Mus musculus: one gene and its partners. The protein of the gene in region 2 interacts with the protein of the main gene of each other region in a biochemical or structural test. Links are inferred from orthologs where the notes say so. Each region holds a gene or a part of one and is shown on either strand. Other genes may lie near its edges.

Region 1 (4,256 bases), on a different chromosome or scaffold from region 2:
GGAACTAAGGCAACTACAGCCCTTGTGTTGCGCTGCAGATCCCCAAAGAACAAGTAAGGCAGTTGAGGCCAGCACCCAGTATCTCAGGGTGGCAGGGGCAGACGGTTGCTAAAAGGCCCCCTTCCAAGTTCCCTCCTCCCCCCCCCTACCATTGTACAAAAAAAAAAAAAAAAAAGGAAAATGTAGCAATGGGCCTCTCCTCTCTGAGCCCACCCGTGTGCAAAGGTATACCATGGAAAAGTCCCTAGGGGGGTGGTTTCTGGAGAGGCCACCGTGGGCAGCTGGAGGCCTGCAGTGCGTGCCTGGCTCCTCTGCGCTTTGTCCTGTCAGCTCACATCAACTTTGCAGGGATCCGTGGGATAGAAATACTGACCTTGTTTGCCAAAATAGACAGTTGCCCAGAACCAACCATCACACCACCTCAGCCCTGAGATCCCCCTTCTTGTGAGGAACCTTGGCTGTCACAAAATGGGGCAGCCCTAGGGACCTGCTCCGGCTTACTGTGGGAGACCCTTCTTTGCAAAGTTCCACCAAGGCCCTGCTGAACATTGCACGGTCCACTCCTCCACAAGAGCATCTTACGGAGCCCTCGATTCTCATGCAGCCCTCCTCCCTAAAGCCAGAATCTAGATTAAAGCTAAAGGGAGTCTCGGAAGTCATAAGCGCCCTCCAACTCCCATCACTGTCTGGCATAGAGGAGATACAGGTTTGGAGATGGCCGAAGTATGAGTGGGGGTGGGGCTTGGATCAGAGGGCGGCAACCGACTGGAGATAGTGGTCCAGCCGACCTGGGCGGGGTTCAATGGGTCGGGTTAGGGAAGGAAGCTCCGCCCAAGCGGACTCGGGACGTGGGGGACGTGACCGCGCCAAGGGAGGAGCCGCTGCCGTATTGCCTGGAGTAGGCGGTCCTCTGCTTCTACCGTACTTGCAGCTCACGGCGCCAAATGCCCTGAGAGACCTAAGACTCACCCGTAGATTAGCTTGCAAGGCGGGCCAGTTCATTCTGCCCTTCACGAAGGCGAGCGAGGGCGCGCGACTGAACCTCTGGGATGCTGAGATGGGCTAGTTCATTATCCATCTACCCCCTCATGGCCCATTCCACTGATGGGAACAACGGCCAGAAGTCTGCTCTTGCCGCTAGGGCGGTCTCCATTCCTAACCTGCCCCTGAGCCAGTGCTCAGTGCCAGCTGGACCAAGGCCTGGTCCAGAGGTCTCTAATTGCTTAGCATCACCATCCAGAAAGTCCCGCATGGGGCCCAAAGGTGTCTGCTTCTGGGCCTCCCCAGCCCTCCCCTTTCTGACCAGTTCACTGGAGGATTAGAGTCCTAAAGTCCCGGAACACCGGCATACTGTGGGGTCCCACGCACTGGCCCCTTCAACATTACTTCTTGATGGTTCTAAGGCCTACTGTGCTTTCTCCTCGCTGCCCCTCGAAATTTAGGCATCCAAGCAGTGAGATCGTTTTTACGGGGAGCAAGCCCTGCCCAAGGTCACTGGTGATGTGGCCAAGTCCATCTTGGAACCAAACCACTGGTTATTCAAAGTCCTTGCCAAGAAGGGGCCACATGTATCTCGGTAGTGTCCTCAGTGCCCCTTAAGGGGTAGACTCATCCTTTGCACAGCATCCTAGCTGTGCACTAGTCACTGCTCATCCTGAGTGAGTCCACACACTTTTAGGACTGTCCTCGTTCCTCAACACGGACGGACCCAGCACCCACGGGACACCAGCCAACTTTGGGCCTGTACAATGATGCCGGGAGCCCTCGGGGATAACCTGCTCCCAACAGAAGAACTTTGGGAAAGCTAATGAGCCTGTGTTATGGGGAGAACCTTGCCGTTACGCTCAGACCAACCTGTTGTCCTGAAAGGGTTCCTGTCGGCCTGGGCCCTGCTGCCCTCTCCTTGCTTGTCACCCAGATTCCAAGCACTATCAGCTGTCCAGAGTTAACAGTTTCTTGAGCCTGTCTGTTGACTGGACCAGCATCCAGGCAGGCGCCTAGTCAACCCACTTGTCAGGTAAGAAAACAGACCGTGCCTGGTTTTCCTATCGGATGAGAATAGAGCAAACAGAGCCCACTCCGGAGGAAAACCCCACTTTCATGTGCCTAGTTTGGGTTAATAGTGGTGGCTGGGTAAGAGTTGATGAGTTTAAGATGGTAGAAAAGGTGGATGTAAAGAGATGAAAGAGACCCGAGGGCATACCTCCCCCAACGTGGCACCATTCCGAAGCGCACGTGTCCCTCTCTCTCACTGGGCGGCCTGCTGACGCCCGCTGGAGATTCGGGGTTCCAAGGAGGCTGTAGCATTCCCACCAAATATAGCCCAGGTTCCCCGGCCGTCCGGCCACGCTCCAACCCTCTTGGGCCGAGCTATTTATACTCTGGACGTTTGGTCGCCCAGGGCAGCTGCCCTCCTGGACGAAGCCCAGCCCCCGAGGGCTACCGGATGGATAGATAGGCGTCTACGAGGGCAGGGAAGCAGGATGCAAGCGCGCAACTGGCTGTTCATGGCCCTTTGGTGGAGCCGCAGTGGTGAGAAGGTTCTCCAAGTCAAGAAAGAATGGGGCTGGAGAACCAGGAGGAGAGAGGGTCAGGGGCCGGGAGCTCCAGGTCTGGATCCCCCGCCTGATGATCGAAGGCCCCAAACCTTGGGCGACTGGAGGCGGGGGGAGGGTCCCAGCCTCGCTCCGCGCGCCAAGCATCTCGCCGCGCCTACCTGTTACCGCCAGCCGCTGTATCTGCCTCTGTCCGCCTTGGCTGCCCGGCGCCGCGCCGGGGGCGACTTTAAGTGCTCTCATCCGTCGCGCGGCACGTCCCCCGCGCACGTCACCGCTGCCTGGCGCCGCCCCTGCCCTCCCCACCCGGACCCCGCGCCGCTGCCGGAGGGGGCGCCCTGGCCGCTGTTCCCCGACGGCGCGGACAATGCCATCTCCACTTAACAGGGAGACCAGGCTGGCACTCGCTCTATAGGCGCCCGGGGCCCGGGCCCCACCCAACGCAGACCTTCTCACTGTTCTCTTCCGCGCCCTTGGGCCGTGACTACCCACCTCTGCTTCCCATTCTACCCTCCATTTATCCCCTCCCAAGACTGTGGGCTCCTTCCATGATTCCTGCAAGAGAGTGGCAATGTCCTCGCTATCTCCGAGACTGGGACCTTTTGCCCTCCAGACCCTGGCCTTCTGGCCTGCGCCTTCTGCCGGGTGGCACACGCCCCCACCACACCTCATGCACACAGGGCTCCTGCCGCCTGCCTACTTCGGACTTTCGCCCCATCCAAACCACCATACCTTGCTCGTGCCTCAGCCTGGGCTATTGTGTGGCTGTGGCAGCTGTCTTCCCTAGTTAGGAAGACTCAGGCACCTTGGACTGACCGGGGATCTTGGGCAAGGCTGTCAACCTCCCTGAACTTCCGTTTTCCCCTGTGGTCGGGGCCCTGCAACAAAGTCAGATACAGGCACTGACACAGCCCTGCTCTGTCGCCCCTCAACTCCTATAGAAGTGATTTTTATGGGGGGATTTCTGCTCCACTCTAGCCTGTATAGCTCCCTGGGGGGCGGGGGGGGGGGCAAAGAAACCTGGTGTTTTTATTAACAAGCTGTAAGTTTAAACCGGGCAGGTTCTGAGATTGCTATAACATCCTAACTATAGACGCCACATTACTTGCCAACTGAGTCTTGCTGTGTTTGCTCTGCCCCATGAGTGTCCTCAGCGATTTTCTCTCGGCCACGTGCTCATGGTCCATCCTCCCAGACCATCCTGCCTCAAGGCAGGCCTCTTCCTTCCCCTGCCTTTTTCCTTTTCCTGGTACCTACTGGAGATACCCCTACTCATCTCAAGTTCCACCTTCCTCTCTTTCCTGCCCAGTCACAGGCTTTAGCCTTTTACTATCCAATCAGAAGTTATTGGGGAGCATTCTCCACAGCACATTGGTCAATACGCTGCCCATGTCCAGACTGCAACCTGATCTTGGGGCACAGAACTCTTGGGGCATCTGAATACACAGAGCACAAGAGCAATCCTAACACTCCCAGCCCAGTGTGGGAGATGAGGACAGGACAGCAGCTTTGCATGCTGCTCTACAAATGCTGACTTCCCGGAAAGGAACAGGATTGGGAGAGAGTAGAGCCATTCTGAGCTGGGAGAGTTCTTTCCAGTCCTCCGAGGGGTGCAAGGGGTGCCGATTCAAACCCATGCCACACAATGGAAATGACCAATGACCGGGCAGTTTGGGTGAGGAGATGAGGAGGCATCTCGGA
Region 2 (4,280 bases):
AGGAATACTAGAATAAGGTAATTAGACAGCATCATCTCTGAGATCATGTTTCAGGTCTAAAATTCATATTCCACAAATGGCAACTCTAACAGAGGGTGTGTGTGTGTGTGTGTGTGTGTGTGTGTGTGTGTCAGAGAGGCAAATGCTCTCAAGCACAGCAGCAGAGCCTTTCAAATATTTCCAAGGATTCCAGAGAAACACACGCCAACTACAAAAACACCAACAGTAGTTCAGTTGTCACGACTGGTGTCCTAAAACATTTCTACAACTTGTCCATATTCCAGCTGTTAACTCTAAGACATGAAACTGTGCTCTCAAAGTGCACAGAAATCACCAGACCAGAAGTTTTTCTGATAATTAAACATTTTTAGAAGTGACAGTGGCCTAACTGCAAAATAAAAAATCACTAGAGATGTCCTAAGTTAAGGACCATCTAGAGAGCCAAACACATTGTCTTTCAAATTCTAAGTTTAACATAACAGAGAAGCATCAGGCACTAGTACAGTGGTCAAGAGTAGAAAAGTTTTAACTCCCACCTATTAAAGCCTGAAAGAGGTTGCTCTGAAATATGTTAATAACCCGCTCTATGGAACTTCTGAGTTGTCTGTCTTCAGTTTGGCTTAGTTTCGATCGATATTCTTCCAACAGATGCAATGCTCTCTGGGTATCTGAAAAGACAAATACGGTGAAAATTTCATGTATATATTAAGGCTCTGTGTGTATCTGCATACATATTTACATGAGAGTGCTACACGCTACCTCTACAAGACATCTATAAGTTCCCCTGAGCCTCCAAGGCAAGGGCTGCCATCACTATATCCATATTCCATTCCCTACTAAGACAAATATTTTAAAGGCTTTATATCACAGCAGAGAAAGGAGAAAGTGAGTAGCCTGTGTTAGCTGTGGACTGACAGCTTCCAAGACTAAAAGACCGTCTAACTAAACTGATAGCAACTTGGTTTTTAGAATGCCTAACAGACAAGAACAAGTTATCTACAATTTGTTCCTATAACCAAAACGTGTTTCAAAACATTAATTCCTAGTTGCTCACAGAGTTGCTCACAAAATAGTGTTGATATGAGTGATAAAGTGAAATACTGAAGCAATGAAGTTTTGAAAAAGACATGGTAGGGGGCAGATTGCTTCTGTTGATTGCTTCTGTAATGACTACAGATGTCAAGAAGGTGTGTGCAACCAACTAGATGTTTCCACCTTCTGAAATGATGGGAAGCTCTGATACCATAAGGAATAAAAGCGAGAGCCTGCTGATTCCTCAAAGTCACACAAACCTTTTAAAAACAGTAACCACAACACTGATGTATGTTACAGCAAGTGACAGCCACAAAACAGTTCCAAAATAAATTCTCACCTTGCTTCCGGACCGGCATTTTTCTCCAGAATCAGGAAGGCGGCACACACCTTTACAAACACAAAACAGGAAGGAAAACTTGAACTAATGCAATGAACTGAATCGTGGATCCATTCGTTGCCCCCGCCCCACCCCACTTCACCCCACCCTACCCGACCCCATCCCCCGCCCCAAACTCTCGACTAGGGAAAAACTCCAACCTTGGTGGAACTGCCCACCTTCCAAAGTTTTCCCAAGTGGAAAAAAAGCAGAAGCCTCAAACCCCCAGCAGTGTCAGCCAAAGCGGAAAGCGAGTTCTCGGGGGTCGCTATGCCCCCTACAGATTAAGATCAGACCCAAGCCCGCTTCGGTAGGTGCCTCCAGAGCTCCCCCCTCCGCAAAGAGCACCTGAAGAGGAGAAGCCCGGCCGCCGCGGCCGCCGCCGCCGCCAAGGCGTGCTTGCCACGCTCCCCACCTGCTGCCGCGGGCCGGCCCGTGCCCAGCCGCGCAGCGCCCAGCCGAGCGCCCGGCTGCTCCCCCGGCCCGCTCGGGCCCCCTCCTCTCGCTTGCCTGGTTCCTCGTTCGTCTCCTCCCGGCGGCGACTCCAGCAGGGGCCGGACCGGACAGCCGCCGCTCTCCGCGCCGCTCATGCACCCCCCTCCGCGGCCTCCACACCTGCGGCTCCGCCGCAAAGTTCCCGCGAGCGGCGTACGCGGGCGCCCCGGGTGCGCTCCGGCCGGACTCGGAGCAGCTTCCCCGCCCGGCCCCGCTCCACGTACCCCGCCCCGCCCCGAGCTCAGCTGAGGGGGTGAGGGGACGGGGGAGGAGCTCCCCCTTCGGCGGCCGCACCCCCGCGCCGCTCTCTCCGCCTCGGCCGCCGCCGCTCGCCCGCTCGCCGCGGCCCGCGGCCCCTGCTCGTCCGCTCGCCTCCGGGCCGCCCCACCCCCGGAACCTCGCCTCCTTCCGCGCCCCCAGTCGCTCTCCCCCTAAACTTTCCGCCAAGATGGCGGCCCTGGAGCTGGCCTGCCGCGCGCCCACGTGACTGCTTTCCCCGACGCTCTCAGCCAATGAGAAGTGAGGAGGCGGCTCGCTCCGAGCCCCGGGCTCCGGGCGCTGCTACCGGGGTTGGAGAAGGGAGGAGGGCCGGGAGGAGGGCGGGGAGGGGGCTGGAGTACTGGAAGGAGGACCCTTAAGCATCCACAGGGAAGCGCCTTGCGGAGAGGAGCTCCGGTGGAAGCGGCTCTGGGGACAAAGGAGTTGACACGCGCTCTACAGGTGGCCCGAAGTGGCTTTGGGACAGCAAGCCTGCACGTTGCCCTAGCCCACCTCCGGTGGCCTGCGGTTCTGAACTAGCGCGCCGGACTCGAGTTGCTGGAGACTTTGAAAGAGAGAAGTGACCTCACCTGCGCTAGATCCCAAGAAACAAGCTCAAGACACCCCTCACCTCACTGAACACGTGCTGGCCAACTTCAAGAAAGGAAGAGTGCCTGGCACGCCCGGGGTGGATCCCCAACAGGGAAAAAGGAATTTGTGCGGAGCTGCGCACCAGTCACCCGCGTTAAGGGGCGGAGGAAGAAGGGACTTAGGAGGGGAAGGGGTATTGTATGTCTTCCACTTTTTGCTGGTTTTTAAATTATTCGTTTGTCCAGAAAAACAAAAAAAAAAAAAAAAAAAAAGGTTTGAGGAGTTTCATTAAGGACCGGATGTAAAGCGGAGACGGATTAGTTTGCTAAACGTTTGAGGGTTTCAGAGGATTTTTAGGTCTAAGTGGTTAACTCCTAGTACGAGCCGTTTAAACAAGTGAAAAGTTCAGTCGTTAATATTTCATTCATTCATGCCTGCATTCATTTGTGCGTTCATGAATGTGTCCCCGCCCAGAGATGCTCCCAGGAGTTACCCATCTTATGGCGGTCCCTTTAAGAAACTCACCTGTCTACCCCAGCGGTGGTGGCACAGGACTTTAATCCCAGAAAGGCTAAGTAAGGCTAATCTTTGTGAGTTCGAGGCCATCCAGAACAGTGAGTTCCAGAACAGCTAGGACTACACAGAGAAGAAACCCTGTCTCAGGTGGAAAACAAAGAAAGCAAGCCTCTCGCTGCCAGCCCTCACACCTAGTTTAAATTTCAAGCACCTCACAGCCCAACAAACAGTCCCAAGGGACACTTGCTCTAGAACTGAGCCTGAAGGGGAAAGTTCTCCAAGTCACTGACTCGAGCTGCTTTTGAGCAGCAGGAACTTCTCTGCTCCATAGCCCAGGAGAATTTTTCCAAAGTCGTCAGAAGTTCTTGAAGCAGAACCAGAAATGCAGAGATCCATGTGTGTCAAACCGTAAGGCTGGATCTGCTTGGATCCAGCTTGAAGATGATTCGCTTGGTTAAGGTTCTTGCCTATGAGCCTGATAACCTGAATTCCATCCCTGGGTCCCACATGGTGGAAGGAGAGAGCCTCCTGTTTGTCCTTTAACCTCCATGCACAGACACATTTAAAATCAATCTACCGGTACTTGTGTTTTAATTAAAGGGGGAGAAAGATGAGGGGTTTTTTGGTTTTTCAATAAACCTGACAGGCCTTTTCTGTGTCCTTGACAATGGAAAAGTCAGAGAAGAACCTTGCACGATAGCCATAACCCAAGTATGCTGATGACTGGGTTTCACTTTTGGCTTGTACCTTAGAATCCTAACTTGTGAGAACCTTAGGACTTTAGAGCTCAGGTAGATCTACCTCCTTTCAGAAAGTGAAAGAAAAACGTTCCCCGTGATATATAAGCGGATCAGTGGCCACAGCGCACAACTCGGCTCTCCTAGCTCCAACCCAGGGCGCTTTCCGCAATGAGTTCGAACAAGCAGGTTGGCAAGCAGACTTTTTTTGATTTGTTGCATTAGGCATGCTGGGGTCTTGATCAACAGTAAAAGCCACATTGCATAGAGGA
Region 3 (4,100 bases), on a different chromosome or scaffold from region 2:
CTTTGCCCTATTAACCTTTTCATTACTTCTGGTGGGTGGTAGGTTAGAATGGAGGTTGAAGCATTTAAGAACCCTTATTAAAGTAAGTTTTGAAAATAAGACAACACCTATAGGCTTATATATTTGAATGCAAACTCTTGAAAAGGATTAGAAGGATTAAGAGGTGTGGCCTTGTTGAAGGAGTATGTCACTGGGGATGAATTTTGGGGTTTCAAAAGCCCATGCCAGGCCCTGTCAGACTGTCTTCTGCCTGCAGATGGGGATAAAGCGCTCTGGCTACTTCTCTAGCACCATGTCTGCTTACATGCGTCCCATGATGATGATAATAATGGACTACCCTCTGAAACTGTAAGCCAGGCTCAGTTAAACCTTTTCTTTAAGTTTTGCCTCGATTATGGTGTCTCTTCACAAAAATGGATCAGTGACCAAGACACCTGGGCATGGGCCTTGCTCTGGAGTGTGGTTGATATACCAATACTCCACTGGAACAAAACAAAACAACAATTTTCCTTTTCCCAGGAGGTATCAATTGCAAACAGCTTCTTGGTTCTGAGTGGGATGGTGTGTCAACTCTCCCATTCTCAGTGCTAGGATCTTGTCTGGTTTGAACCTGTTGCAGGTCTTGTGCATTCCTTCAATCTCTGTAAGTTTAGATGTGCATCAGTGCTCTTATGTCTGGAGGATACTGTTTCCTTGGAGTCATCTACCAACTCTGGGCCCTAGAATCTTTCCTCTTCTGCACAGAATCAAAAAGGCTTAAATTCACTGCATGATGTGACCAACGCCTCCCAAGAGAATCTAAGGTTCCTGAGAGCAAGCGCTCCATCTGCTTTTGTTCACCTGAATCCCCATCATCCTCAACAGTGTCTGATGCTAGGGCAGGTGCAACTGTATTACACTGAGCACACGTGGAATGAAGCACTGCTTCTGTTCATCTTCAGGAAGTCCTCCTTTTCTGCTCCTTCACTAGCCCATCCTAATTCTTGTAATTCTCAGTCTCAAAGATGCCTTCTTTCTGCACTCTGACTTCTTAAACACACGGTCTGATTGGAAGAGAGGAAGTTTCAGAAGGCAAGAATTCTGGTAAATATTGCCTTAAACTTCAAACTCATAAAAATCAGTACTAACTGAAAGAATCTAGCTCTTTATAGAGTTACTTAATACAATGGGTTTGCCCATGCCTTGATAATGAAAGTAAGGTGTTTGCTTTTTCCTCAAAACCATTTGTCATGATTAGATTATAAGCTATATAAAAGATTAATTTAACATCCTATCAAATGACCTGGGCGTCGAGGTTCACACTGCAATCCGAGAACAGGGGGAGGCTAAGGAAGAAAGACCAGTTTTTAGGCAGAACGGTTTGGAGCCTGCTTGGTGACAATTCCTCTTCTCACCAATAGTCCTATGGATGTAAGACCACCTACAGTCCACCAGTTTCCATGGAGAACAGCTCTGGTACAGAAGTACAATATGAGTTTGTGGCCAGCGTCTCTACACAGGTAGTGAGTTCTGGGGTAACCAAGTTACACAGTGAGAACTTGTCTCAGAAACAAAACCAAAAAAACCCTGAAATCATGTCAAGTGGACCATGGGGATGTCTGAAAAGATGGAGCAGACACAGCACTGTTACTTTAACAGATTTAAAACTGACAGACAAGATTTCTGCCGAGTTTTCTGCCGAGGCCCATGATAAGTACTGATGTTCACACAGTGCCTTATATGAGGCAGACACTATCATAAACTCACTATGTAGACGTAGATTTGAACAAAGTTACATACTTTGTAACTCAATGTCTAACGTTATAATGGGAAACCATTGCATTCAGTACTTTGAGACCATTTCTCATATTTCGAAGGGCAAAAGAATGACAGAGTAGTCCAGACAAATGCCATTTCAATTTCCTATTTAATAAAAATATTATGACTCCCACAGCCTCTCTTCCAGACACAGATTTCTGAAATCAACCTAGTGTTTGCCTTTCCCAGACACATAGAAATGAAGATACAACACAGAATGTGAAAATGTGCTAATAACTGAAAAGCCAGAAAGAGTCTTTCTCTGATCTCTTCATTCCAGGAGCCTGTCCTGTTCTGGTCTGCAAAGGACATTTCATTTGAACAGCCGCTTTTAGGCTGAAAGGGTTGGTATCTGTTCAGGTGACAATTCCTCTTCTCATCACAGGGTCCACGACAGTCTTGATCTGAGCGCCTGCATCCACAACTAGTTTCTGGTAGAGAACAGCTCTGGTGCAGATGTACGGTTCCCCAGGGACGGGGTTAAAGGAGATTGTCAACAAGTCCAACGAGTCCACCCCTTCTACGCAGGGCCGAGCAGTCGCTGTGCAGCCCTCGGTGCAGCCCGCCGGGCAGCGCACTCTCCTCCCGCGGCATTTCTGCCCGGCCTTCCCCAACCTCCCCTACTGCACTGCCAGTCCTTGGTCACCCACCGTCCAGTCCATCCCGTCCTGAGTCTCCAGACTCGGTCCCCGGCTCTCACCCACCTCCCGCCACCCTCACCTCTCGTTCGCCGCCGGCCCGGGTGTGTCGGCCGGAAGCCCCGCGGCAGGTTCCTCGCTGAGCATTGAGACCCTGCGGCTTCTCCTCCGAGGTCGGGGCTGCTTCTGAGCCGCCGGCTCTGGCTCCATGTCCGGAGAAGGGGGGTTGGTGGGGCGGTGGCCCAGTGCCCAGGAGACCGATCGTGGCGGGCACAATGCCCGCCAGCTTCTGCGAGGCAGCAAGTCGCCTTCTAGCAGAGAGCGGCTACCGCCGTCATCCGGGGATTTGAAAATGGCGGCTGCCCAGAGATCGGCCAATCAGAGAGTGGGAAGCGGTTGCTAGGCTACGTGGAGTCCCGCCCTAATCAGAAGACTTCATACCAAACTTTTAGGAGCTCCAGTGACAAAGGGAAAGTGGTAAGGTGAAAGTTAGGAATTTGGGGATTTATTTTAACTACACACCTTACTCCTGAAAGGCAGTCTCTATTCACTAGAACTTTCACTTGCAGGGCAGGAAAATGGATCGGAAGCTGTTTATCATTTGTTGTTGTTTAGCGTTAGACAGGATGAAGGTATTGACCCCAAAGCAAGAGGCAGTTGGACGTATAAACACTAAGTTATACATGTGGAATATATTCCCAATTGCCAAAGACAATACTTTGTTCTCCAGGATGTCTCTAGAGAACCAGTGAAATCTAGTTATGTACTCCTGTCTTTCAGTAAGTAGGACACAGTCGCTTTACCGAATGGAAAGGGCTGCTTTCTCTGCTTGCAAGACTGCAAAACGTGCAGCATGAAACAAGGGACCCTGCTCAGGTTATTATGTGAAGATTGGTAAATAAAAACGTTCTCTGATTTTAAATATCGCTAATGGTCTTAAATGTAGTCTCTCTTGTATACAGGGAGATATTAATGATGTTGTGTATAATAGAAAAATTAAAGGCAATCTAAATGAATGACTGGGAGATGTCTAAATATAACTGATTAACTGTGAAGACTGCATTCAGCCGATAAAGAAATGGTCTTCTTCAGGGAATACCATTGGTTAGCCAATACTAACAGCTAGCCCTGAAAACATACAAATAACATCATACAGACTGAGCTGGCTGTATTTGTGTATTTAGGAACATATATGTATAACATATTGTTACATATTGACTATGTAACAATAATTAATAAAAAGAGTCCATGAATGTGAAAGATAGCAAGAAGGGGTATAGGAGAGAGTTGGGAAGGAGAAAAGAGAAGGGAGAAAATGGTGTGATTATATTATAATCTTGAAAATAAAAGAAAATTAAAAATAAGAGGTATATAGTAAAACAAAACATTGTGATTTTAACTGAAAGCATAAAATATGAAATATAGAACAATGATGGCTAGTTTTATGTCAATTTAGAAAAATTCTGTTTTAGGGTTTTACTGCTGTGAACAGACACCATGAAAGAGACAGCCCTTATAAGGACAATATTTAATTGGGGCTGGAATACAGATTCAGTCCATTATCATCAAGGCAGGAACATGGCAGCATCCAGGCAGGCATGGTACAGGAAGAGCTGAGAGTTCTATATCTTCATCTGAAGGCTGCTAGCAGAATACTGGCTTCCA
Region 4 (3,500 bases), on a different chromosome or scaffold from region 2:
GCCACCCTCTCAAACCATCCTGTCTATATTCCTAATCTTACCCCCTTCAGCCATCTAGTAAATGATGGAGGGATGGGAGGAGAGGTTTGGGAGTTTGGAGTGGGAAGAGGTCCTCAGCCCTCTAAACCTCAGATGGGGAAGCTGGAGGGCCACAAGGAGGGAGAACATACTGAGGTCACCCAGTGAGTCTTGACGTGGGTCACGTGGCCTCTGATCACTTTTGGCACCTGTTTGGAGCTTGGGGATGACCTATCACACTTTCGGGACTCACACAGGAGCTCCTAGCCCCCAGGGACCCCAGGGACCCAGAACCCAACCTCCTTTGCATGTCAACGGCCCCTGGGCTCCATCTGTTTTTCTCTTGATAGCAGGAACCTGAGTCATTGGCAGGAGAAAGCAAATTAATTCTGAGGGTGGCAGATGCTATAGCAAGGAGCTGCAAAGCCTGGCATGAAGGCTGGGCCTCCAGGGAGCAAGGTGTTTACATGGGGATCCAGTATCTGCTCAGTCCATGGGTCAGTCCTGCCCCGCCCCCACCACAGCTGCAGGCCTGGGATACTTGGATACAAGTCACTTTCAATCGTGGATTGGGCCCTCCAGGTGCCCTGTCTCCATGAAAATTCCTTGTCCTGTTAGGACAATTACCCACCAATGGGACTAACCAGAAGTTTGTCAACCTACAACTACAGAAGAAAGGGTCAGTATCCCAGCTTCACCCACTGTTGGCTGGTGACTTGGGCAAATTCCCTAACTTCTCTGAGTCCAGGCACCTTGGTTATATAGAAGGTGTTTTCTCTGCAAGAATCAGCCCAGAGCAAAGCTGGCCCTAGGGGTGATGGTGGCTATTTCTTCCACCACCAAACTGCCGCCACTCTACCCCAGTAGCCCACTCTCTCCCTTCTTCCTTACTTGTGGTGTTGTAGCGGACACCGTAGAAAAAGGCAGGGCAGGGCCGAACCACCAACTGCCCTGCAGGGCTCCTGGGCCAGCAGGTGCCAATGAGGTCCACGGAGGCATTGCACTGCAGGCCTAGGAACAGAGACAACAGTGAGAAAAAAAAAAAAAAAAAAAAAAAAGCAAGGTCCCAGGTAGACAGAAACCTCTCTGGAGTTCTGTCTATCCTCAGTCCCAGTAAAGGCAGAAAAAGCAAAACCTCAGCAGGAATATCAGCTCAGCCAATACAGGAGCGCAAATTCGCTACTACAGCACTTGGGAGACTGAGTTCCAGAGCAGAGCAAAGAAAGACAGTCCGGGCTGGCTTCAGATCTCCTGCTGTTGGCAAGGACGCTTTCTTCAGAGGGGCTCATGCATTCGCCCAGCACCGTGGAGGTTAAATGCACTGCTGTCAGGGTCCAGGGAAGGAAACGCCTAACATACCTTCTGCCAAAGACAGAAGCACCTGCCTATTTCCTTACTTTTAACAGTCCCCCAATACACTTCTCGAAGGCTAGAGGCAGAAAGGACCTAAGGGCAGTTAGCACCATTTGATATCAAGACCAGCTAGAGCAGTGAGGCTCCACCTGAAGGAGTCTCCCGCCGGAAACGCCATCCCTCAATGTCCCCCATTTTAAAGACCCTATTTAGAGCTCTGACTCCGCCCACTGCTCATCCAGGGAGGAGCAGGACCCATGTGATGGTGGGCGAAGCAGAATGGCGAATGTCCTAGGGTCTTCCCTTAAATAACCTAAAATCTATTCTGGTCTTACACCACCTGCCCATTTGGACGCTAACTCCCTGCTTTAAAGAGAAGGAACACTGAAGGCTCAGGAATGCACAGGGGTCGACCCAAGAGGCGGGGTAGATTTTGAACCCTGGGCTTCTGAGGCCAGCCATAAGCTTCCACTGCTCCACAGAGGTCTCTGGCCGGCATCTGCCTTTTGCCAATATCTGGCTGGTGCTCCCTCCTCTCTGCGCCATGTTCCTTGCGCCTGTCCCCGACGCTCACAGAAAGCTTCTGAAGTGACAACGGGGATATAGCGACCTTTATATTAAAAGCTCAGAAAATCCTGGAGCATCAAAATCTTTGAAAAGCTGCAAGACTGGAGAAGAGAGGTGGAACGAACGGGTAGGCAACAAAGGCACCAGCTTCTTTCAGAGAGCATCCACACTGGGACCTGTGGGTGGGGCAGTGCGGGGGAGGGCGGAGTCAAGCGTATGGGGGCCAATCAGGAGCTGCGGCCGGGCTCCACTGATGCACTTAGCTGCTGAATTGGCACTAGGGTTTCAGTCCACCGCTAGGAGCTCCAGGGGCCGGAAAAATGAAAGGAAGGAGGGCACAGACCCAGCAGGGAGCAGGCGGCATGTCAGGGCCTCCAACAGCGCTGCCCAGCACACCGCCAGTCCCCAGACCACCCCACTGGGGTCCCCGCTGTCCAGTAACCTTCGGCTTGACCAGCGTTTGCTGCTCACCCTGAGGACCACGCCTGGGAAAGAGAGCAGGGTCCCTGGGGATCCAGTAGACAGACAGGGTCTCTGAAGGGGACCCATAAGACATAGGAGGGAAGGGGCCGGCGTGAATGTTTCCAGGCATTGTGAAGGGCGCTTTGCCACCCGCCACATCACTCTGAGGAGGGGAAAAGACAAAGCAAGCAAAAGAACAAACCGAGTTTGGAGTGTGTTACGGAGACTGGGACAAAAAGAATAAAGAATATGCTGAGGCTAAAGCCCGGAAGGGCAGAGGAATGCCTTGAGAAGCAGGTGCAGAGACCGATTTCAGAGCATAGGAATTCTCATGTCCTAGCCTGAAGCACTCAAGGATCTCAAAGCCTAGGCTGCGGAAGCCTGGATTACTTTAAATTTTTAACCCCTCTCTCTGTCTGTCTCTGTCTCTGTCTGTCTCTCACACCCCCCCCCCCACGAGACAGAGAGACAGAGACAGACAGAGCCAGCCAACTACCTACGAGCCCCTTCCTGGTCAGCCGCCGGCTGAATGGACAGGGAAGAACACCGGAGGCTTTTAAAATGATTCTTCTTTCCACAGAATATATTTTGGTATTATTTTTCCCTCCTCCAACTCCTCTCAGATCCTCCCCCCTCCCTACCCTCTCTCATGTTCTCTCCCTCTCTTAACAAAAACAAAACAAAAATTCAAATACTTAACTCACCCAAGAAGTGGGGTGAACTGGGGACAGAAAAATGAATAAAATAGATGTCTGGCCCCGAGGGGGCTTTCACCCTACTGGGAGACACAGTGAGCAAGCAGGCAAGCATGTGCTATCCAGTGCGAAATGTTACAAGCAATGTACGGAGATGATGACGGACGGGGTGCTACTTTAATTTGGGATTTCTCTAAAGCACTGTTTAATTACAGACTTGGAGAGAGGAAGTCACGTGCATACATGGGAGAGAGGGAGTAGCCAGTTCGAAGGTCCCCAGGAGGTGATTGCTGAGGTATCCAGGGTTGTCACTTGTCACTGGGTCACTCAGTTTACAGATAAGGACTCTTTCAAGGGTGGCCTAGTTATGGCTTGTGTACAGTTGGACACTGATTTCGTCTGTTA
Region 5 (4,257 bases), on a different chromosome or scaffold from region 2:
CTGTGGCTGGAAGCTGGGGACCCATTCTGGAAGGGGACTGTAGCAAATGTCTAAGAGGGAGGACACAGCCACAAGGCACAAACAGCTGGCTCAAGTCCTGATGCTCTACCTGATGACAAGCAAAAAAAAAAAAGGGGGGGGGAGAGGGGGAATCTGTGTGGGAAAAAGACTAATGTCTTGTTTTGTTTGAGACAGGATCTCCCTGTGTAGCCCAGAATGGCTTGGAACTCAATGTCCTCCCCCAGGATTACAAGCACCAACCCCACACCTAGCAAAACTCCCCACTTATAAGGGGGCTCCCAGTCCTGGAGAGATGGCTCTGTGGGTTAAGAGCACTGACTGCTCTTCCAGAGGACTTGAGCAACCACACGGCCGCTAACAACTGTCTATAGCGCCAAGACCGGCCACCCTCACACAGACATACATGCAGGCAACACCACCCAAACATATAAAATATCAATAAATATGATTTTTAAAAAGTAAGGGGGTTCCATGCTCTTCCTTGGAAGCAGCAGCCCCTTTCCAGCCTTCCTGTCTCATTTCAAGATGAGCTATGACAGTGTGCTTGGACTGAGTCCCCTTCCTACCTTCCACTGAGATCCTAGTTTGATTTTTTTTTTTTTAACTTCAGAGACTGCTGGGTGGCGACCCATCAGGATCATAAATGTGGAAAATTGAGAAAAACATCTGGAGGGAGATTCAGATTCCATTACACTCCAGACTGGTGGGTGACTGGGCTCCCTTGTCCTTTCCAGGGTCCTGCCAGGCTGGGGACCAGTCTCTTTGGAAGGTACTGTAAGCCAGCTAGGTGAATGGCCCAGAGGAGAGAGGAGCCCTTCCTTAGGGAAGGGCTTAAGGCTGGAGCAGGAAGGGCTTAAGCCAAGTCTGCTGCTACTTTGCCACGATATGTTCTCACCAAGAACTGGTCCCGCTCCTCTGAGTGGCGTAGATGGGAATTAGCCGTGGCTGGAAAGCATTAGTGGCCAAATCAGTCTAAGATGTCCTGCAAAACCACTTTTCTATTTTTTCCCCCTCCCTTCCCTTCTGCCTTGACCATGTTAGGATTCCCTAATCCCCACCAACAGACACACAAGAGACAGCTCCCACACATGTGAGTTCGCTGAGCCTCTGGAACATGTGCCCATACACAAATCACCTCCACCCCCAGCCGAGCGAGCGAGCTATCACGGTGCAGCTGTGTGTCACAAACGCTGGCCAGCTATTTCTCACAGCAAAGCACTTTTTTTTTTTCCTCCCTCCTCCAGAACTAAGTAAGCTGGGGAATGCCCAAGTTTTTCAGCACCCTTAAACATCATGACACTCAGACCTACTGTGAACCGCCTTAGCAGCCACTAGGGCTGCAAGCCAGAGCTTGCATCGAGGTGGGAGAGAGAAGAGATCCAGTCTCCACTGCGAGGCACACAGCCCAGCTGGATGGAGAAAATGCAAGCCAGCCGGCCAACATCACAAGCTGACCAGTTGTGTCCTGTCAGGAAGCCAGCTGCCTCTGAACCCGCCACAGGACTTACTGTATTGTTCTGGGTACAATCATGAAACCAGCCCCAGCCCTGGGCGAGGGGTGGTTTGGAGAAAAGGTTCTCTCCAGGGTCAGGATGACAGGGAAGGGGAAGCGGCTTTTAGGCTAGATCCTGAACAGGAAAGCAAGGAGCCGCCGCCGGGGCACGACCCTTAAACCACGTCGCGTGGAACTTGGAGCATATGGTCAGCTCAGGAAACCGCTGGGGTGCGGGAAGCTCTCCGAGTGCGGTTGCCGGGACTTAAGACTCGGGTTAAAGAGCATAGGTGCTCGCGGGCCAGGAAAGCAAGGGTTTAATCAGGCCCCGATTTGAAGGGAGAACTATGGAAGGAGGCCGGGAGGCACGTGCCTCCCTTCAGTCAGGTTTTCCTACCAAATCGTTGAGTAATTAAGTTAATCGATAAACAGCCAAACTATATGCGCAATGGGAGAGAGCCCAAGAGGAGATGGGGCACGGGGTCAGATCAGAAGCGCCTGCATTCCAAGGACAGGCTTAGCGGTCTCAGGCTCCCCTGCCCAAGAAGCCGGGCTGGGAGCAGAGCTCAGCAGGCCCGGGGCGGGGCACCGCAGACTGGGTTATCCCAGTTAGAGGAACCAGGCTAGCTAGCTGAAACCAGCAGGCTCCCTGTCATGCGGGCTCCGAAGCCTCAAAGGTGGTGAGGACCACAGCCACCTAATGGGTCCCTGACACCGATCCCACTCTCACCCAGCTCAGGGCCTCGTAAGGCTGCAACACTAGCCAATCTGGGACAAGGGACACGGAGTGGTCCCTCCACCGTCCACACGCACTTCACCTGTGCAGGTGAGCAGGCTTCCGCGATGCCTCTCGCTCTGGGGCCATACCGGGGTTTCTCTGATCCTAGAACTTCGAGTTTCCCGGTTGTCGCCTGGACTCAGACTTTCCCCAGGCTCTCAAGTGGCAAGATCGTCGCCCCCCCCCCCCCCCCCACTTAAGTCCCACTAATTGACCATACCCGGCACAAACTAAGGTACTCACAAGGTGATGGTGCCGTTTGGCAGAAGGCCGGGATCTGGAGGTTCGGGGAGATCCCCACCGCCGCACACCACCCTCCTTCGAGCCGGGTTGTGGGCGCCGCCACTTAGTCCCTTGGGCCGCTCCCCAGAGCACTTGCAACCGCGGATAGGGACCGGGCAGCCAGGCGCACCCCGAGTTCCAGGAGCCAGGAGCAGAAGACAAGGCAGCAGCGGCAGCAGCAGCAAACGCGCGGGAGGCACCGGCATCCTGCGTCCCCCCGCGCCCATCAACCCATCGCCCCGCGGGGACCTACAGCGCAGGGGCCGGACGGCTCGCCGGCCGGAGGGACCCGGGCGTGCGGGAGGAGTGCTCAGCGGGAGTCCCGGGCGCCCGAGGGCGGGGCGGGGGGCCATGGGCGGAGGCAAGCCTCGGGGTCCCCGCTGCTGCGCTCCGGGGGCATGGCTTGCGAGCACCCGGGCCGGGAGGGACGCGGGCGCCGCTGACAGCGCAGCGCGGGTGGCCCCCGGCGGCGCGGCCGGAGTCTCAGCGCAGCGCTCCGAGCCGACGGAAGCTTGGTCCCTGCGCGTGGCCGGCTCGCCCTGCGCGCGGCTGAGACCTAGCGGATCGTGCCGGGCTCCTGTTGCTGCCGCCGCCGCTGCCGCAGCTCCGTGCCATGGATGGGGGCAGCTAGGCGCCGCTCAGCTCCCGCCGCCAGCCCCCGCCCGCCTCCATCACCGCCTCGTCACTCTGCGAGGCCCTAGCGCCGCCTGATACCCTGCCAGGCGGCTGCCCTCCTTCAAGTGCAAGCCTAGAAGACAGCTTGAGCAGACACCCACTCCTATACCCCATCACCTACCCTGAACCAAGACTGTTGTCCTGTCACGACTCTTTCTACTAGCCAGGACTTTCTCTCTCTACCGCCCAGCTCAGACTTGTAAGGCAACCATCACTTTCCACAAAAAAAAAACGCTCTCTCATCCAGCCTACACCCCTCTTTCTAGGACTTTCGTTGAAGTTCTGGTTTGGCCTGGGAAGTCTGGTGCTCCGGGTTAAGGGGTTGAACTTAGCTCAGGATCTAAGGTTTCTCTTTGGCCCCTGTCGCGATGAGCCGATCTATAAGTTGACTCTCACAGTCCTGTTCCCACCCCTCAGACTTGGATTGAAGCCACAGCAGGAGGGCACAAGACTGAGACAAGGAGGCCATAGATCTTACCCTGTGAGCATTGACCTTGCCCAGCGGGAGGTGCATGTCATTAGGCCAAGGAGAGGTCAAAGGTTAAGGCAGACACTGCCAAAGCTATCCTCCTGTTAACACTGTGTGTGTGTGTGTGTGTGTGTGTGTGTGTGTGTGTGTGTTGGGGCAGGGCAGTAAATGAGTAAGGGGAAAATAAGAGAAGGCCCAGGGATCTATATTAGGGTGTGGGCAGACTCTACCACCAGCCAGGGTATCGCAGTATAGGTTTCAGCCCCCCTCCATGTCTTTTATTAGCTGTTTGACTTGACACAGCATGTAACACCTAGGGGTGTGTAGTCTATTGAGCCTTGCTTGTAAACCGTGGCCAGAGAAGGAGGAAGAAGGGCCAGTCCTAGGTAGGATCTGGCTTTTGACCACTGGGGAGTCAAAGTGCCTATGGACATGACCTCAAAAAAGCAACAGTAACAATGACCAACAGCTAATGCCTGTGGGTGTTAGAGGTGCTGCAGTGCCAACTGAAAAGAAGGTTGGGGTTAGAGGACCCAGGAT
Region 6 (4,231 bases), on a different chromosome or scaffold from region 2:
TAACCAATAAAAAGTGAGAAAAATTAATTAAAAACTAAGTCATATCTGCCTCTAGAATTGTATAAACGGAGGCTAACAAAATCACGTTAGTGTCAAAACTCTCAAGCTCCTATAAGGCTCCTTATGAGCTATGATTTAAAGAGTTCTATCTACACTAAGCATGTTATCAATCCAAGCAAAAATAAAAGGATAAAGGGGTGCTCTATTTTCCTTACTACTACCACTCCCCTCCCCAGCCATGCCAGCTTCAAATGTCCAGGCTCATGAGAGTCTCCTCTCAGCTCCTGCGTAAGAAGGGTTTTAAGCACAATGCTCCCCAACGCCAGTCTACTCAAACTTATTTCATATTGGTTTCTAACTAGAATCTAGATTCACTCCCGTATCTTTATTCCCATTATTAATCTGCAGGAGCCTCCCATAGGTGACAAAATCCTATGAGGTTGAGAGGCATCTGCGAATGGTCTTCTGGCAACAGGCTGGCTTCTTAGAGAAGGCTATTTGTCATAGCTATATGAGAGGGTTAGAGAGATGGAAGGAAAGTATGGATCCTGTTTTGAGGAGCCCCCCAGGTTCTAGCTTACTGGATCCCCAAGTTCCTCTTTGTCAAAGAAATATAAAAGGAGGAAAACAGAAAGATTCAGCTTCCCTTCTGATGGAGGTCTGTAAACACCTGCATCGTCTCAGGAAAGCACAAGAAGGTACAGGTTTTCCTTACAGCCTATACTCTGTAGAAGTCCCTGAGAAAGTCACTCAGGGGACAGGTGTGGTGGTGCATGCTTGTAATCCTGGCACTTAGAAAAACTAAAGCAGGAGGACACCAAATTCCAGGTCAGCCTTGTTGGCAGAGTGAGACTGTCCCAGGGAAACAAACACAGTAGGGGGTGGTGGGGGTGGCAGCGCATGCCGATGATAAGTTCTTGTGCATGGCAGGCTGAGATGGGATGATTCATTTGAGTTTGAGACCAGCCTGGGCTACTGAGTGAAACCTTGTTTCAATAAGCAAATAATAAAACCACCACCACCATCACCAATAATAAAACTTCAACTAGCAGGAAGTGGACAGTATCCAAAAGGCAGTATTAGACACAAGCTGGAAGGCCCAGGGGACTGACTGTGAGCAACTAAGCACTGTCACCCTAAAATCAGGCCTCAGAGATGACAGGGAGCACAGGGAACAGACAGCAGCTGCAGTCACACATACCTTAACCAGAGTAGAGATTATGTTTCTTTGAAACTCATGGGCATTCACACCCTAGGAAAATCTCCAGGCATATGGCCTATATTCAGTTTATTCAACACCTATTATCAGTTCTCACATGCACACACAAACACACATGTGTGCATATGCACTGTACTACTTAATCCCAGTAACTCTACAGGCTAGCTATAAACATTATTTCAAATACCTGAACTCAGAGCTTATAAGATATATGCCTGGCCTGTAACATCATAACCTGACATCCTGCCTGTACTGTAGAGTGAGCTCAAGTCCACTCTGGGCAATGTACTGAGAATCTGTCTTAAATTAAAAAGCAAAACAGTGGGCTGAGGCTACAGATTAATGTCGGGGCGCTGTACAAAGCCCTGGGTTTGGACCCTACATGGTGGGGAAAAATTTTTATTAGACAGGGTTAAAAAAAATCAGAAACTCCAAGACAGAAAATATTAATTTATCCAAATACATATTTATGATATGCCAACCCATTTCTGTGTACAGTAAGGTACTCAGATGGCTGGAATACTACTTCCTGTCGTCTTTTCTCATCCATTGAGCTTTAAGATCAGTGTGAGGAAGATGTCCATCTTAAGCTCTTCTGTAATCAAAATCTAATTAAGTGAGGACATTGACTATACTGATAAGTGCATCTACATAATAAATAAGGACCCTCCATACGATGGACCGACACAGAAGTAGGAGGAGAGAATGACTCAGAGATCACAGTTCCTAAACGTGGTAGAGGAGGAAAGCTCTTCATGCCCTCCCTCAGTGGCCACCTCGGCTTTAGAGGTCTGTGCTCTCCCCACCAGACCAGACACAACTTATTGGATCTCCAGAACCGGACTTTCCCTAGAAGCTAGACAAAAATATTTCAAAATCCTACTCACTGCCCCCAATCCCCAACCCTTGAAATGGCCTTTACCTTCTATAGGGGAGGTTTTCAGTCTAGTGCAGATTTCCTGTACCCCTCCGTAGTGGGCACTGATCTGGGCCACTGCATCAGCTCCACGAAGCTCCATGAGCTTTCGCAGGTCCATTAAGGTGCAGCCAAACTCCCCTTCATGGCTCTCAGCCACTGTGTTGGCTGACACGCTTTGTCCTGGTGGATTCGTCATTTTGCCTTCTTCAGTTACCAGACTCTCAACCAGAGAAGATGTAGAGTTTCCCCTCTAACTGATCAGTGTCTCTTGCCTTCTATTCGCCGTTTCTTCCCACTTCTTTCTTCTCTGGGAGGTCAGTTAGGGGATAAATTGACAATATCTCGTGCAATAAGTTTCAGAGTAGCAACACCCGGCCTAGATCCTTGCTTCTGTATTAAGTCTACTAGTGAGAAGAGGAAGAGGTTGGGGGAACTTAGTAAAAGATGGACGTGGTGTCACGATGATTGGTGTCCTCTGGGTGGAGATGGGAATGGTTGTCCAGAGTAGGTAGGTTCCTAGTTTAGACTTCTTGTCCATATAGAAGTGTAAACAGGATAAGCATGTTACCATGGAAGCAACCTTAGCAACAATCAGCAATTACGATGGTAGGCTGGCGTCAGGAAAAAGAGGAGGGCTCCCTGGATAACGATGAGGGCTAGGCCTCTGGAATAGAGATGCAAAAAAAAGACAAAAAGGAACAATTAGAACAGCCATGAGGATCCAGGATCTGCAAGGTACTCTCGAGAAGAAGGGTTTAAATGACAGTTGGTGGCTGAACGGAACTGAGAACTGAGGCCTGAGCTCAGTATCCAGGCTCATGGGAAGCCCTGGGTAGGCCTGCTGGCTGGGAATGTAGAGGATTTATCTCAGAAACATCATCTTTAAGCCTTATTTCTTCCAAATCAAGGCACACAAAATAACTCAAGGAACTCGCATATAAAAGGTTATAACCTCTAATGCTCCTCCCCTTCATGGGCTGACTGACCTATAGGATACATTAGTCTGGCCTTACCTGTAAGATGTGAGAAGAATCAGAAAAGGAATCTAGACCCAAGGGGGCTGAAACATGGCTTGCTTGTGCACCTTCTACTCCCAACACAGACATTTACAATCCAGAAAGACAGGCTGATAAAAGGTCTCTTAGAACACTCAGCCTTCAGTGGTATGAAAATTTGGAAACCTACAGCAGTTATCTGGCACCAAATTTTGGTCTCAAGGCTAAGCCCTCGCAGAGGCTTTTCCTGGTAAGAAAAGAGTGAAACACGCTAACAGTTTATGACACAGGGTGGATTCAGTTTTTCTATAAGGGCCAGGTGGAGCTCTGGGAAGAAAGATAGTGAGTGTTCAAGTTTTTCCAGTGTAGGAGAGATAAGAGAACAGTCTGTTCAGCCCATAGACAGGTCCCAACACTGTCCTCAGGGTAAGGGAGCAACCAGAGGGGCTCATGTTAGCATAGTGACACATCAGAGAAAGGTAGGCATTTTTCCCTCAGCAAGATAGACGTTAGCTGGAGCACATACTGGCTAGGGTGTGCAGGCACAGCTAAGGGTATGTGGGGATGAGAGGGGCTGAAGGTGGCTTAGAGACTGAGCTGAGCCCTATGCTCAGCTGCAGACAAGGGCTGGCTACATGTTATATATCAGCTCCTCCGATAGGAGAGGCTCAAGTATGTAGGGCCCCATTCTGGTGAAATAACCACCCTGCAATTGGTCGATGCTGCCAGGGTCTGGCAAGGCACTCCAATTGGCTAGGTAATAAACAAATGCTTTTTTTTTTTTTTTTTTTTTTTTTTTTTTTTTTTTTTTTTGCTTCTAGAAGGTGAATACAACTCTTGAGTCATCAGAGAAGAACTTGGCTCTTTTTATCAATTTATTTTCTCCAGAAATCCCATCTGGCCAAAGCTCCTGACTGATTTCAACCAATCCTGTTTCAGGCAGGTTCCTCTGGAATGGAGGTTATCCCACTTCTGCCCCTCAGCCAGCATGTTCCATCCACCTCCCCAATACCCCGACTTACAACAAGTTAAGCAAGCAGGGAATCCTGAGAAGGTTCCCTGAGGCAGTAGGTGTAACTCCCTCATTAAGACTGGCAT
Region 7 (3,500 bases), on a different chromosome or scaffold from region 2:
AGGATTTCTATTAACTTTGGTAATCTTAGGCAAGCTTAGGATGTTGGCTGAAGCTCTTGAACTATTTGTGAGATTTGCCATCTTCTAAGAGCTACTCACTGAAAAGGGAATGTATTCACCATGCCTGCCAGGCAAAAACAACAACAACAACAACAAAACAAACAAAAAAACCCCCTCAAGCAAACACAAAGAACATATCAAAGCAGTTTCACTGTGTATCTGTTAACAGCATACTGGAATTAAATTCTAGTTTATAGCCTGAACAAAGATGGAACATCTGAGATTTTTGCTAGTTGATTCATTCAATGACTATTTTTTTGTTTGTTTGTTTGGTTGTTTGTTTGTTTGGTTTTTTTTTTTTTTTTTCCGAGACAGGGCTTCTCTGTGTAGACTGGGATTAAAGGCAAGCGCCACCTATCTGTTAAGAACTAGAACAGTGCTAGAAAACAGTCTATGCCAACAAGAAGCCTTGTTTGTTTGTTTGTTTGTTTGTTTTGTTTTTTTCGAGACAGGGTTTTTCTGTGTAGCCCTGGCTGTCCTGAAACTCACTCTGTAGACCAGGCTGGCCTCAAACTCAGAAATCTGCCTGCCTCTGCCTCCCAAGTGCTGAGATTAAAGGCATGTGCCACCACCGCCCGGCTTTTTTTTTTTTTTTTTTGAAGCCTCACTCTTAACCTTAGAAAATGCAGAGAATCCAACTTTTAAAACAAAAGTTTATCACTCCAGTAAGGCATAAAACAATGAGGCTGTCCTGTTTTGAGCCCTGTAAATGGTTTAGAATTGTAGTATCCTTGCTAATGATGACTATGCAAGTGCAATGCCTAAATACAAAACCATGTTTGTGAAGTACAGTGCTGGCATCCAGGTTTGATTGCTACATAAAACAGTAACAAAAAAAGCAAACATGTTTCTTTTTGTTTGCCTGCTGTTCGATGGGAAATCTCACTTGGTAACCTCCTCTGGCCTTGAAGTTTCTCTATGGACAATGGGCTGGCCTCTAACTCCCTTGTAAGTAGTATTGGCCTTACAAGCATGCACTATTATGCCCACTATACATTTCTCATAAAATAGAGCTTGATTTTTTAAAAAAAAATTGATCAAAACCTTAGGACATTCTTTATGTTAATTATAAAACCACAAATAAGAAAAATAGGTAGAACTTTCTATCTCTATCTATATTTCTATCTCTATCTATCTGTATTTCAGATTGAACACTAGAGAACCTTTGTCCTCACCACCTCCAAAGGACAATAAAAATTAAGTGGTCAAAAGCTCACATGAACTAAACTACAACATTCTTGGCTACGAATCAGCTATTCTATATAATAATGAATTAAACACTCAATGCCGCTTACCTTGTAATCTCTTGACACATTTTCTGATGTCACTGAACCTGAAATCTGACTAGAAATTGTAGCAGCTATAAGCTGTTTACACCATTCAACATGTGACCCTGTAGGACTAAAAGAAACAGTGTGGTTAAAACCCTTTAAACACAGACTCCTAATGAGAAAAAAGTGTCCTGGGTAGGAATATATAGATATAATATAGATGTCATTTTTAAAATCAGTCTCTCATGTACAGCCCAGACAGCCTCAAATCACTATGTAGCTGAGGATAGCCTTGAACTCCCCATGCTCCAGCCTCTACCTCCCAAGTGCTGAAATTATAGATATGCACCCCAATGTTTTAAACTATTTGGTTGCCTTTCTACTTAACGTAAGAATCAATAATAGACAAAACAGAAAATAAGATTAGGTTCTAGGTTGGTTTTAGATGAGTTAATCAACCTTTTACTAAAACTTTAAGATCAGAGATGTTAGGTCTAGAGAGACAGCTCAGTGGTTAAGAGCAATAGCACCTCTTTACAGGAACTAGGTTCGTGTTCCCATTGTCCATGTGACCATTCACAATTTTCTGTAACTCAAGTCCCAAAGATTCCAATGCCCTTTTCTGGCATCTGTGGGCACCAGGCATGTATTGACACAGACACACATGCATCCATACACATAAAATAAATAATTTTAAAATGATTACAGGTATTTAGTTAAGCATGTTACTCTCTAACATATTGTAGAATTCTATCAAAATTATATGGAAGATATAGTGTATATATACATACACACACATATGTATATATACACATATATAAATTAACATAGTATATATAGGAAATTAATTCCAAAGTGAAATATTTACATTAAAACATGATTTTCAAACAACATTCAACCAAATTCACGTTTACAGTTTCAAATCTAGAAAACAGTGTACTTTTACTAGAGTTAAACTGATGGTGAGTTAATATAGAACAGACTAGAAAAGGTATTTTATATAAAGTAATGATGCTGCATTACATTTCTGTAAATGTTTTAACGACTGAAAAAAGCTTCTTCCAGCTAATAACTCAAAGCTTTATAACCAGTTGTGACAAAACGGCAGAATAGACACCAGCCAACTTGACTGGATAAGGAAATGGAGGTGCTGAAGCCACAATATACCCAGGAACATGGCCACCACTCCAGGGAGCAGCACAGCTCACAATGACTGACTTACTGAGCTAAAGGCAGTACCACACATGCTGGGACACTGCCTCAATACGGAAATACAACAGTTTGCAAAGGAGATGGAACCCTCTGCTAGTGTAAAAGGCAGTGTTACCTAGCGCCCCCCCCCCCAGTGACCCATTTTATAGAAAAGAAAACTGAGCTTCCAGTTTTGTCCATGGTCATATCACTGTAAGATCTTGGTCTCTGCTCACCTGACCCAATAGACTACAAAGGCAAACTAGGTGGCCAGGGATTTAAAACTTGCCCTCGAGAGCCAGGCACCTTTCCAGATCTGTCAATACAGGAAAAAAGATCAAGCAAGAGGACAAAACTTTTACTTAGGACCTTTTACCACAAAGTTAGCTTTTGTCTGGAAACAAAACAAAAACATCACAAATTACATTCACACTCATGTGTTTTAAGGACAGAACATCCATCTAATTTGTAGTCTCTGATTAAGGTAGTTAAGTCATTAAAGTTGAAAATATATGTAAAATATTTGCTGAATAGGTTTAAAGTTCGATGATACACTAAGATTCCATGATCTTAGTAGAAGTTAGAACTCTATCACAATTTCTAAGTGGCAGGGGGAAAGGAGAAAGACATTTCCATGTGTGTTGAAATATGGTCTCTCTCTACATACTTATGTAGTCCTAGCTGTTCCAGAGCTTGGTGTTCCAGGCTAGCCTCAAACTCAGAGATCTTTCTGTGCTGGGATTGAATGCTGACATGTCCCATCCCCCCCCCCTTTGACTGCTCCTTTCCTTTTCCAGACAGTCTTATTCTCTAGTACAGGCTGGCCTGGAACTCACTGTTTACCACTATATTGTCCTTGTATATGCACCAATTTTGCCTGATTTTGAGTGCAGTGTTTATTGGTAGAGACTGCCACACCAAGTTTCCTTTTTTGCCCTTTTACCACAAGCACCCATTCCTGATTACAAACACATAAAG

Evidence for each region.
Region 1: the proteins of Dlg1 (region 2) and Slc16a3 interact in a test that uses a peptide from one of them, tested with the Homo sapiens proteins (2 studies listed by IntAct, with this or other methods). The link is inferred for Mus musculus from reciprocal best matches to the Homo sapiens genes DLG1 and SLC16A3.
Region 3: the proteins of Dlg1 (region 2) and Net1 form a complex in vitro, tested with the Homo sapiens proteins (3 studies listed by BioGRID and IntAct, with this or other methods). The link is inferred for Mus musculus from reciprocal best matches to the Homo sapiens genes DLG1 and NET1.
Region 4: the proteins of Dlg1 (region 2) and Crhr1 form a complex in vitro, tested with the Homo sapiens proteins (3 studies listed by BioGRID and IntAct, with this or other methods). The link is inferred for Mus musculus from reciprocal best matches to the Homo sapiens genes DLG1 and CRHR1.
Region 5: the proteins of Dlg1 (region 2) and Adgra2 form a complex in vitro, tested with the Homo sapiens proteins (2 studies listed by BioGRID and IntAct, with this or other methods). The link is inferred for Mus musculus from reciprocal best matches to the Homo sapiens genes DLG1 and ADGRA2.
Region 6: the proteins of Dlg1 (region 2) and Atp2b4 form a complex in vitro, tested with the Homo sapiens proteins (2 studies listed by BioGRID and IntAct, with this or other methods). The link is inferred for Mus musculus from reciprocal best matches to the Homo sapiens genes DLG1 and ATP2B4.
Region 7: the proteins of Dlg1 (region 2) and Mtmr1 interact in a test that uses a peptide from one of them, tested with the Homo sapiens proteins (2 studies listed by IntAct, with this or other methods). The link is inferred for Mus musculus from reciprocal best matches to the Homo sapiens genes DLG1 and MTMR1.

Annotation. Positions count from the first base shown.
Region 1 is NC_000077.6:120,947,611-120,951,866, reverse strand, and holds the start of Slc16a3 (monocarboxylate transporter 4), read right to left. Parts: upstream 2,801-4,256; 5' UTR 2,717-2,800; intron 2,022-2,716; exon of another isoform or gene 1,855-2,021; intron 1,151-1,854; exon of another isoform or gene 374-1,150; intron 1-373. UniProt on the Homo sapiens protein: Proton-dependent transporter of monocarboxylates such as L-lactate and pyruvate. Plays a predominant role in L-lactate efflux from highly glycolytic cells.
Region 2 is NC_000082.6:31,661,963-31,666,242, reverse strand, and holds the start of Dlg1 (disks large homolog 1), read right to left. Parts: upstream 2,801-4,280; 5' UTR 2,755-2,800; intron 2,309-2,754; exon of another isoform or gene 1,922-2,308; intron 1,423-1,921; 5' UTR 1,392-1,422; coding exon 1,373-1,391; intron 669-1,372; coding exon 537-668; intron 1-536. UniProt on the Homo sapiens protein: Essential multidomain scaffolding protein required for normal development. Recruits channels, receptors and signaling molecules to discrete plasma membrane domains in polarized cells.
Region 3 is NC_000079.6:3,915,421-3,919,520, forward strand, and holds the start of Net1 (neuroepithelial cell-transforming gene 1 protein), read right to left. Parts: upstream 2,801-4,100; 5' UTR 2,646-2,800; coding exon 2,518-2,645; intron 1-2,517. UniProt on the Homo sapiens protein: Acts as a guanine nucleotide exchange factor (GEF) for RhoA GTPase. May be involved in activation of the SAPK/JNK pathway Stimulates genotoxic stress-induced RHOB activity in breast cancer cells leading to their cell death.
Region 4 is NC_000077.6:104,156,781-104,160,280, reverse strand, and holds part of Crhr1 (corticotropin-releasing factor receptor 1 isoform 1 precursor), read right to left. Parts: intron 2,066-3,500; exon of another isoform or gene 1,558-2,065; intron 1,030-1,557; coding exon 910-1,029; intron 1-909.
Region 5 is NC_000074.6:27,084,489-27,088,745, reverse strand, and holds the start of Adgra2 (adhesion G protein-coupled receptor A2 precursor), read right to left. Parts: upstream 2,801-4,257; coding exon 2,535-2,800; intron 2,478-2,534; exon of another isoform or gene 196-2,477; intron 1-195.
Region 6 is NC_000067.6:133,750,948-133,755,178, forward strand, and holds the start of Atp2b4 (plasma membrane calcium-transporting ATPase 4), read right to left. Parts: upstream 2,801-4,231; 5' UTR 2,335-2,800; coding exon 2,142-2,334; intron 1-2,141. UniProt on the Homo sapiens protein: Calcium/calmodulin-regulated and magnesium-dependent enzyme that catalyzes the hydrolysis of ATP coupled with the transport of calcium out of the cell. By regulating sperm cell calcium homeostasis, may play a role in sperm motility.
Region 7 is NC_000086.7:71,367,760-71,371,259, reverse strand, and holds part of Mtmr1 (myotubularin-related protein 1), read right to left. Parts: intron 1,462-3,500; coding exon 1,356-1,461; intron 1-1,355. UniProt on the Homo sapiens protein: Lipid phosphatase that specifically dephosphorylates the D-3 position of phosphatidylinositol 3-phosphate, generating phosphatidylinositol. Could also dephosphorylate phosphatidylinositol 3,5-bisphosphate to produce phosphatidylinositol 5-phosphate.